Oryzias latipes: one gene and its partner. The protein of the gene in region 1 interacts with the protein of each later gene in a pairwise test. Links are inferred from orthologs where the notes say so. Each region holds a gene or a part of one and is shown on either strand. Other genes may lie near its edges.

Evidence for each region.
Region 2: the proteins of lhx4 (region 1) and chchd2 interact in binary tests that used the Homo sapiens proteins (3 or more experiments, as listed by UniProt). The two-hybrid records come from large-scale screens. The link is inferred for Oryzias latipes from reciprocal best matches to the Homo sapiens genes LHX4 and CHCHD2.

What each region holds. Positions count from the first base shown.
Region 1 is NC_019862.2:32,187,436-32,191,796, reverse strand, and holds the start of lhx4 (LIM/homeobox protein Lhx4), read right to left. Parts: upstream 3,079-4,361; 5' UTR 1,780-3,078; coding exon 1,701-1,779; intron 1-1,700. UniProt on the Homo sapiens protein: May play a critical role in the development of respiratory control mechanisms and in the normal growth and maturation of the lung. Binds preferentially to methylated DNA.
Region 2 is NC_019871.2:16,549,815-16,554,352, forward strand, and holds chchd2 (coiled-coil-helix-coiled-coil-helix domain-containing protein 2), read left to right. Parts: upstream 1-1,660; 5' UTR 1,661-1,807; coding exon 1,808-1,857; intron 1,858-2,563; coding exon 2,564-2,822; intron 2,823-3,301; coding exon 3,302-3,470; intron 3,471-3,783; coding exon 3,784-3,791; 3' UTR 3,792-4,159; downstream 4,160-4,538. UniProt on the Homo sapiens protein: Transcription factor. Binds to the oxygen responsive element of COX4I2 and activates its transcription under hypoxia conditions (4% oxygen), as well as normoxia conditions (20% oxygen).

The DNA of each region.
Region 1 (4,361 bases):
CACGTGGCTGTTCACTGTGGGTCCACAGCATGAAATCCTCTGTCAATAATCACGTTACAGTTATCATATTTAATTTAGGTTTTTGCAGCCTGCAAGTCAAGATCCTTCCCGCCCCAAAAAAACACAGCTTTCTTTTTTTAATTGGAGAAAATATTTTTTTAAATCGTAATAAATTATCATTAAAATGTGATTTTTATTTTTAAAATACGAAGATAAATTTACATTTAACTGTGGGGAAAAACCCTCCATTCTGACTCTCCGTCCATGTTTTTCAAATGAAATTGCTGAAGCTGCGGAAAACGTCCCGGTGTTTCGGTGTGACTGCAGCGGCGGGAAGAGCAGACCCGCGGAACTGGACTGGCGCGAGCCGCAGAAGACAGGAGAAAGGGCGGGAGCGGGAATCCGAGCTCCGGCCTTCGCAGACGGAGAGGCATCCGGAGCCACGCGCCTGCTCGGGAGGCGGAGAGGAGTGGTGCTGAAAGGACAGCAGCACGATTCTTGGCAGCGCGTGGATTGGCAGCGTGCAGGGTGCGCGCACACGCGTGTGTGGGGAGAGGAGCGCGTGGATTCGGGAGGTCTCCTTCCTATCTGATTATCGGCTGCCACCTCTCCACTCCTCATCGTCGCTCCCGTCAGCTCACGTGGCGGAGGCGCACGCGCTCAGACCCGGCTGCAGCATCTGCTGCTCCTTTGGAGAATAAACGCACCTCTGGTTTGGGATGCGGGTGTTCTGAGTCGGGGGGTCCGTACGGTTTGATTCCTGAAATAATCCAGGCTCGATGAATCCCGGCGCTGCAGGGACTGAGTGGCAGAATCTGAATCCAGCATCTAAAATTGACGAGTAATCTGACTGCACGTGCAGATTGGAACGAGCTGGGCACATATTTGTGCAGCCTCCATAAGAAACAACAACAATACAATTCAGAATTATTTTGCAAACATGAAATTTGACTAAAGCAATTGTGAATATTCTCTAATCTTTTGAAGTCAGTGTTTTCTAAAATCAATATTTTAGTCTCGTGGTTGTCAGTGTCTGTGGATTCTTTTCCATCTGTACATTCAAACCTTCCGGTGAATAATGAGGTCAGAGGACGAACATCAGCTGCCCACAGATTAACAAACAGCAAACAGATGTGAAGAATTTCTCACCTTTGCTGCTAAATCCGCAGTAATGACCTCTTGGAAATCTTTATTTGAACAAGTCCTGGTAATTGTTGCACTTGTTTGAGGCCTGCTGTCTGATCCAATTGAACGTCTGAGGCCTTTAATTTGACCCAACAATGAGTGTCAGTCAAAGTCAGAGAGCGTTTGTCTGATGGCTGATGATGACAACTGCGTCTGATCTCCTGACCAAGAAGGCTCGTTTGCAAATTAACAGCTCAGAGAACATGAAAGTACAGAGAGAAATGATTCTTTTGATTTTATTCAATATGACTGGATCAAATGGCGCCGTTTGTTGTTCTCAGTCAGGACGATTGGCTGCTAAATGGGACAGAAGAAGGCGGGAAAAGGTCATCTAAAGCTACTTTTGATGCCCGCGTGTTCACAGCATGACACATCACCGGCCTGCAGGACTTCCGTCTCTTCACCTCAATGTCTCCCCGTTTATAAATCCCTCTCCATGCTGCAAACCCCCACAGCGCGCGCGGCTCCCGCCAGACACTCAGCAGAAACGCGGGGAGGACAGAAAGGTGTCTTACGTTGCAGTGGCACTCCGAGAATCTCCGGTAAACTCTTCACGGGACTCTCTGTCGGCAGGACCGCCGCACTTTGCATCATTGTGATCCAAACCGGGATACAGACGCGCGCGCCACTCCTCCGGCCTGCCCTGTATGGGGGCTAAAAACAAAAAAAGGTGCTGAGGCCTGTGTCCACCCTGCACACTGTGGGCTCAAATCCCTATTATTCCTCCGTTTCCAGAGGGATGTCCGTGCCGTGCGGCGCCGCGCCGTGCTGAGCTGTTTTTGGAGTGGATCAGAAGGCTGCTTGGTCCATTCAGCGCTGCAGGGGCGGTGGGGCATGACGTCACCGCGCCAGAGCCTCACATGGAGCCAATCGGAGCGCAAGAAGGGGAAGCCCCAGAGGCGGAAAGCATCCTGGATAGGTGTGCAGGCGACGATGAGAAAGGAGAGGAGGAGAGGCGTCGAACGTGGGCCATGAAAACTGTCTCAGGAGAGGGGGAACCGTGCTCACGGAGACCAGAAATAGCTCACTGCAGTGGCTTCACGAGGGGCCCCGGGCCAGCAGGAGCCGATCCGGAGGGGAGGAGGAGAGGTCGGAAAATGAGGATCGTCTGAGGTCCTGTCTGTGCGGCCCTGATGGTTTTTCCTTAATCAGTTCTCAAAGTGCAGAGTGAGACTTTGATGTGTGAGCGGGTGAAGTAATAAGGCATTTCAAGTAAAAGGCCAAAAAGGTCAATTTGACTCATTTTAAAGCTACATTTCCTGTAGAATTGAACAGATGGAGCTGAAAGGAACATTTTCTCTGACACATTCGGGGTCAGCATCATCTGTGCGCGCTTCCTGACCGCGCAGAAACAGGAATGAAGATTAGGAGTCCACGCGCAGTCTTCCTGACACTCTTCATTTTGCAGCCCGTCGTCTGAGGCTGAACTCGCCGGGAACATATTCCCTCCGGAGGCCTGCAAGTTCAGACCAGATGAACTCCATCTTCGCTTCCAATTTACTTCAGGCAGGGAAAGAAAAGCGCGCAGTCTGTTTGTCGAGGCTGTGCCGCCTCCAAAACAAGCTGTTGCATCAAGTCAGTCTGCAGATCCAAACACAAGCGCACGCGCACGTCACGGCGCATCTGGATTATTTAGCCAATTTGATAAAAACAAAGGGTTTTTTTTGCATTAAAAAATCGTTTGGAACAGATTCCGCTCAGATTCTCCGGATTTACGCAGCGCAAATATGGGTCACACCAGAGTGAATTCTTGTCTTTTTTGTCATTAATAAAATGAAAAATGTCTAGAATTGCAGCCATGATTTATTCCATTTACCTTATCCAAAGCCAACCGTGTTTCCTATATGGACTTATTCTTTTATGGTATTATAAAACCAAGACTCTCAATCCCACAGCAGCTATTCTTAGGATTTTATTTTGTAAAAACGCATCAAGCTGATTAAAACGACGACAGGTGTATTCCACTCCAGATTTCAAGGTAGCCGTTTTGCCACGAGGTTCTCCTCTTCTTCAGCCTTCATCAGTGCGTCCCCCCACTATTTTATTTCCATTCCACACCTTCCCGCTCCAAATCATTCAACCCAGTTCACTTTTCAATTACTCTGATTGTTGTAATCGAGGCCCCTTAAGCTGCCCTGAAAAAAACGCAGATAAAAATGCTCTTAACTCGTCAGAAAAGGGCAACACAATTACAATAATTGACGGATGTAAAAAGCTGAAAGAGATCAGATGCGCGCACGCACATGTGGGACATATAATGATGGGATGCAGATTATTTTTTCATCTTCAAAACGACATGTCCAAGAAACGACATCTTTTTTAGAATTAAAAACCTCCCCACTGATCTGTAAGGTCAGAAACAGTCACTGCTTGCATGCCAAATGATTTGGCCTGTATTTCATCATTTGACGAGGAAAACTATCATTTCAAAGGTTTGGGTTCATACTCGCAGAGACGAAAGGAGAAATAATTTGTTGAGAAGCAGCTATTGGGCAATATTTCAAGCGGGGGGCGACTCCTTTGCCACCAGCGCTGACCCAGCCACCTCTAATTAGATCTAATATTTCAGTGGACCAGTTCATTGACATCCGCGATTCACAGATCCGTCTGACTGAGCCAGACACACACTGCGCCTTCATCCGCACGCCCTAAAGACGCCACGCGGCCCTACTGCGCGCGCAACCAGACAAATCAGAACGTTTGACAGAGCCCGGGGCTCCAGTGTGCGCGCATTTGGACCCGCGTATCCAAGCCGGAACGAAAAATCTGCGCTCACATTGGTGCAACATTTGTTTGGCCTCTTAGGCTCGTTATTGAAGTTATTTAAATTCACATCTCAGAACTTTACCACATGCGTGATGAACCAGTAGGCATCGCGCAGACCTACCTAATCATGGCTGATTTTGTTGCCTCTCTCCTCCCACCTCCTTTCCCTCCTCCTCCTCCTCCTCCTTTTTTCCGCAGGATGTGCTCAGGGTTCGCAGAGGAACAGCAGCAGGTCCCCGCTTCTCTCCGGCTTCCAGGGAGAAAACAGCCTCGCAGGGATGGCAGCGAGAGTCCCCAAGCTTTTGCCTCCAGAGCAGAGAGAGGGAGAGGCAGGAAGGCGAGGAGGAAACCCGAGGAGGGAGCACCGAGGAGAAAATTAAATTGCACTTGGGGGGCAAATTCTATTAGGG
Region 2 (4,538 bases), on another chromosome or scaffold:
TTTTAAAAATTAGGTACTCGGAAAGTTTTTTAATAAATGTGTGATTTTTGATCAATGCAGGGGATTCGCATAAAGAAATTGTTTATAGAATCTTCCTGTTAATTTAAGACATGTACATTCAGGATATTGCCCTCTCATCCTCTACTACCTTCTGAGGTGTTTCCCATTTTGACCTTGGGGTTTCCAGTTCCTATTCTGCACACATGTTCCTGTATATTATTCCAGCCACTTGATTGTGGCGCTCCATGTATGCTTTACCTGCCAGCATCTTACACCCTGCAGTTATGTGCTGGATTGTTTCAGGCGCCTCTTTGCACAGCCTACACCTTGGCTGTATATGTGGGTGTGTGGATAGATAGATATAGTCATGTGCTCAGTGAATGTCTCAGACAATGGAGAGCTGAGGATGCAGTGCTGGAGGACAGATCCTCATGGGAGGACAAACCCCTGCATGGGATGTACCACCGGACCATAACTGAAGTGGCGGATATCAAGAAGTCTTACTAATGGCTAGAAAGGGCTGGCCTACAGGACAGCACTGAAGCACTCATCTTAGCAGCTCAGGAACAAGCCCTGAGCACCAGAGCGATAGAGGCTCAGATCTACCACACCAGACAAGACCCAAGGTGTAGGCTGTGCAAAGAAGCGCCTGAAACAATCCAGCACATAACTGCAAGGTGTAAGATGCTGGCAGGTAAAGCATACATGGAGCGACACAACCAAGTGGCTGGAATAATATTCAGGAACATGTGTGCAGAATATGGACTGGAAACCCCAAAGTCAAAATGGGAAACACCTCTGAAGGTGGTAGAGAATGAAAGGGCAAAGATCCTGTAGGACTTCCAGATCCAGACTGATAGGATGGTAATGGCGAACCAACCAGACATTGTAGTGGTGGATAAAGAACAGAGGAAAGCTGTTGTGGTGGATGTGGCAGTGCCAAGTGATGGGAACATCAGGAAGAAGGAACATGAGAAACTGGAGAAATACCAGGGACTCAAAAGAACTGGAAAAAGCCTGGAAAGTGAAGGTGACAATGGTGCCTGTGGTAATTGGAGCACTCGGGGCAGTAATACCTGGAAAGACCTCAGACCTCTCAGTCCAGAAAAGCGCAGTGCTAGGAACAGCTAAGATACTGCGCAGGACCCTCAAGCTCCCATATAGATAGATAGATAGATAGATAGATAGATAGATAGATAGATAGATAGATAGATAGATAGATAGATAGATAGATAGATAGATAGATAGATAGATAGATAGATAGATAGATAGATAGATAGATAGATAGATAGATAGATAGATAAAAACAATGTGTAGAGAATAAATTTACCTAACATAAAAAAGAAATACGGTAAAAATAAACGAAATAAGAAATAGGGAAAAAAAATAACTTTAATTACTACAGTCTTGGAAAGCGTTTTAAAAAAATTGTTTTTTAAAAGTAGACTATTTAACAAACGTTATTATACATGCGAAGCATCAGAAGAGCAAAGACGGGGATAGTAAAACAAATACAAAAAAATAAAATAAAAAGACAGTAGGCGAGGAATTAAATTGTTATTACAGAGCACATTTGAGCGAATGACAACACAATGAAAATAGGGGAAAGTTCAGTGTATCGTCTCAAAATAAAGTTACACAAGCGTTTCAGCTGCACCGGAAGTTAGCCGGCAGACAGATGATGTAACACATAGAAAGTTCCGGATGAACCAAAGGTCGACATAAAACTCGCAAGCGACGTTGCGGCTCCAGATTATCGCGTCAGTTTTTCATCAAACGCACAGCTGTCCAACCTTAATATTTAGGTATGCCAAGAGGAAGCAGAAGCCGGACATCTAGGATGCCCGCCCCGGCCAGGTAACGATTTCTATTTAATAACTGGGATGAAAGGTGGTTAGATAGTGTGCTGCGTGGGATAGCGCAGGCTAAAATGTGCTAATAGTGTTTCAGTGTCAAATGTCTGTGGGAGCCTGCCAACAGAGTTGAGGATTATTTTAACACATTTAGTATCCTAAAATGCCCAAATCTGGAGATAAAAACGTCTATTTATGTTCAGACAGGATTGTTGAGGCAGGCCAAGAGTTTCTGACAAATGTAGTAAAGGTCAAAGTGTCAAACCTATGTATTTTAAAATTCAATTTTATAGAATGGTATAACAATACGTCATTAATGTTCATCTAAACTCATTGAAAGGTTGAGATGCTTTGCATTCATCCAAAAAATGAACTTTAATAATGTTCACAGTGTGAAAGTATCTCTATAATATAACACGTTTTAGTGACAGTTTACTACAAAACTTGGGAAGATTTTTCTTACGTAATTGGCTTCTTTAACCTTCAGTTACATAACTGTCCTGACAAAACCTCATCATGACCTCCAAAACCCACAACATCAACTCTGACACACAATTTTAGTGAGAAATGATCTCTCATTAGACCTAAGCGTAGACCTGAACAAGAGTGATCATGTCAACAACAATAACTCAAAAAATATTACTGTCCTGTAATTTTTAGGTACGGAACATGCCAACTTTGATATTTAAACTAAGGTTTACGCTTTACAGCCGGGCGCCACCATCCCCACCACCCATGGCCAGAGCAGCACCTCCTCCTTCCCACGCCCCTGTCCCAATGCAGGCTCCTCCATCCGCTGTGGGAGCACCGGCTGCTGCACCCAGGCAGCCGGGTATGTTTGCGCAGATGGCTACTACAGCAGCTGGGGTGGCAGTGGGCTCCGCGGTGGGACACACTATTGGCCACGCGTTGACTGGTGGGTTCGGTGGAGGACAGTCAGAACCAGCCAAGCCCGACATCACGTACCAGGTAAAAGGAAGAGCATCTGCCAAAGGACCAGAATAGTATCGGTAAAGATTAGGTTGTCTAACTCCTGGCAATGCCAGCCGTTCAGAGCTCAGCTCTAACAGGAAAAAAGGCAGTCAAATTTACAATTAAAATGTTGCTAAATCAGTTGGAATTTTAATTCATAAAATACAGTTTTGATCTGATTACATTGATTATTTACATGGTGTTATTGTCAAATTGAGACTAACTAAAGCCAAAGTATATATAACTTGGTTTTTTCTTTTTAGGTTTCATCATTTTATCATGTCAAAGATAAACTGAGCCTTTAAAGTAAACATTTTCTTTACATTAGCTCATAAAATACTTCTATATTTAATAGAAGCTGTTGTTGTATTTTTAACTGAATTTCATTTTAAAACATGTTTTACTCTAACTTGTTTTGAAAACAAATGCCCCTTTTTTCAAAATTATTGTCTCTAATCTTTCATTCTGTTTGTCAGGAGCAACATCAGCAGCAGCCACAGTCTTTCTACCAGCAAGAACAGCAGCAGCAGCAGCAGGTTTGCTCCTATGAGCTCAAACAGTTCATTGAGTGTGCACAGAACCAGAGCGACCTGAAGCTCTGTGAGGGATTCGGTGAAGTACTGAAACAATGCAGGTTTGCAAACGGTAAGCAAATGTGGAAATACATTTTGTAATAAATAAAAAAAAAGTAGATATGTACTAAGGGGTTGTTATATTTTTCATCCTCCTGTGTGTTCGATGTTTTGTAGTCTGGTTTTTCCTTTTTTATTTTTATTTTATGTAAGCTAAGCATGGGAAGACTTTCTGTTTTTTCAAAGATTTATTAGGTCCAAATTCTTTGTTGGAATTTGTCAGGGGTGATGGGAGTTGTAGTTTAAACCCGTTTTACTTATGTGATGCTGCACATTTAAAATGATAAAAATAAATGCATCTTAATGAAGTGTTTTCTTCTCCACAGGACTATGATGAGGTGAAGACAAAGCGCTGCAGAGAAGAGGAAGTCACAAATGTTATCAAAGTTTTAGCAGGGTATAATTATTAAGGGATCAATCAACAAAACAAGCTCATTATTTAACATTTGAGTTTCAAGCATCATTTGTGAAGACCGCTGCAGAGCTTAGAAAAATGTTTATATACTTTAGTGTTGTCATTTCCTCAGTTTGTAATTATGATGGGAGCTTGTGTTTCATTAGCATCCATGCTTTTAGTTTCTTCTCTGATACTTCAGACTCTGCAACATGAACCTGTAAGAACAAAAAGTTTGCATTTTCTGGATGAGCATTGCTCAAGGTTTGATTGTACCAGTAAAAAAATAAAGTTAAATCTAAACCTGATTTATTTCCTTGCCTCTTCAATCACACGTTGTGTTTCTTATTTTGGCCTGCTAGTTCTTTAAATAGAAACTAGGAGCTGTTACAACTCAGCGGTCCAGCAACTGTTGTGTCACTCCAGAACGGTGCACGTGCAGTAACCTGTCTCTGAATGCTAAAGGTGAGAAAAGGGACCGTCTTCTCACAGCATGGATCCCAGTTTTTGTTATGTTGATTCGCCTAGGCTGCCTGAGAAGCAGCCGTGTATTTTTGGCGTGTGACATTAAAGCTCGTCTTATACGACGTGGAAGCGGCCACCCCACACACGCGTGCAGCAGCAGTCGGAGCGGACCGGACTGGTTTTAATCTCTGCAGAGCGATCACACTAAGGATGAAAAGGATT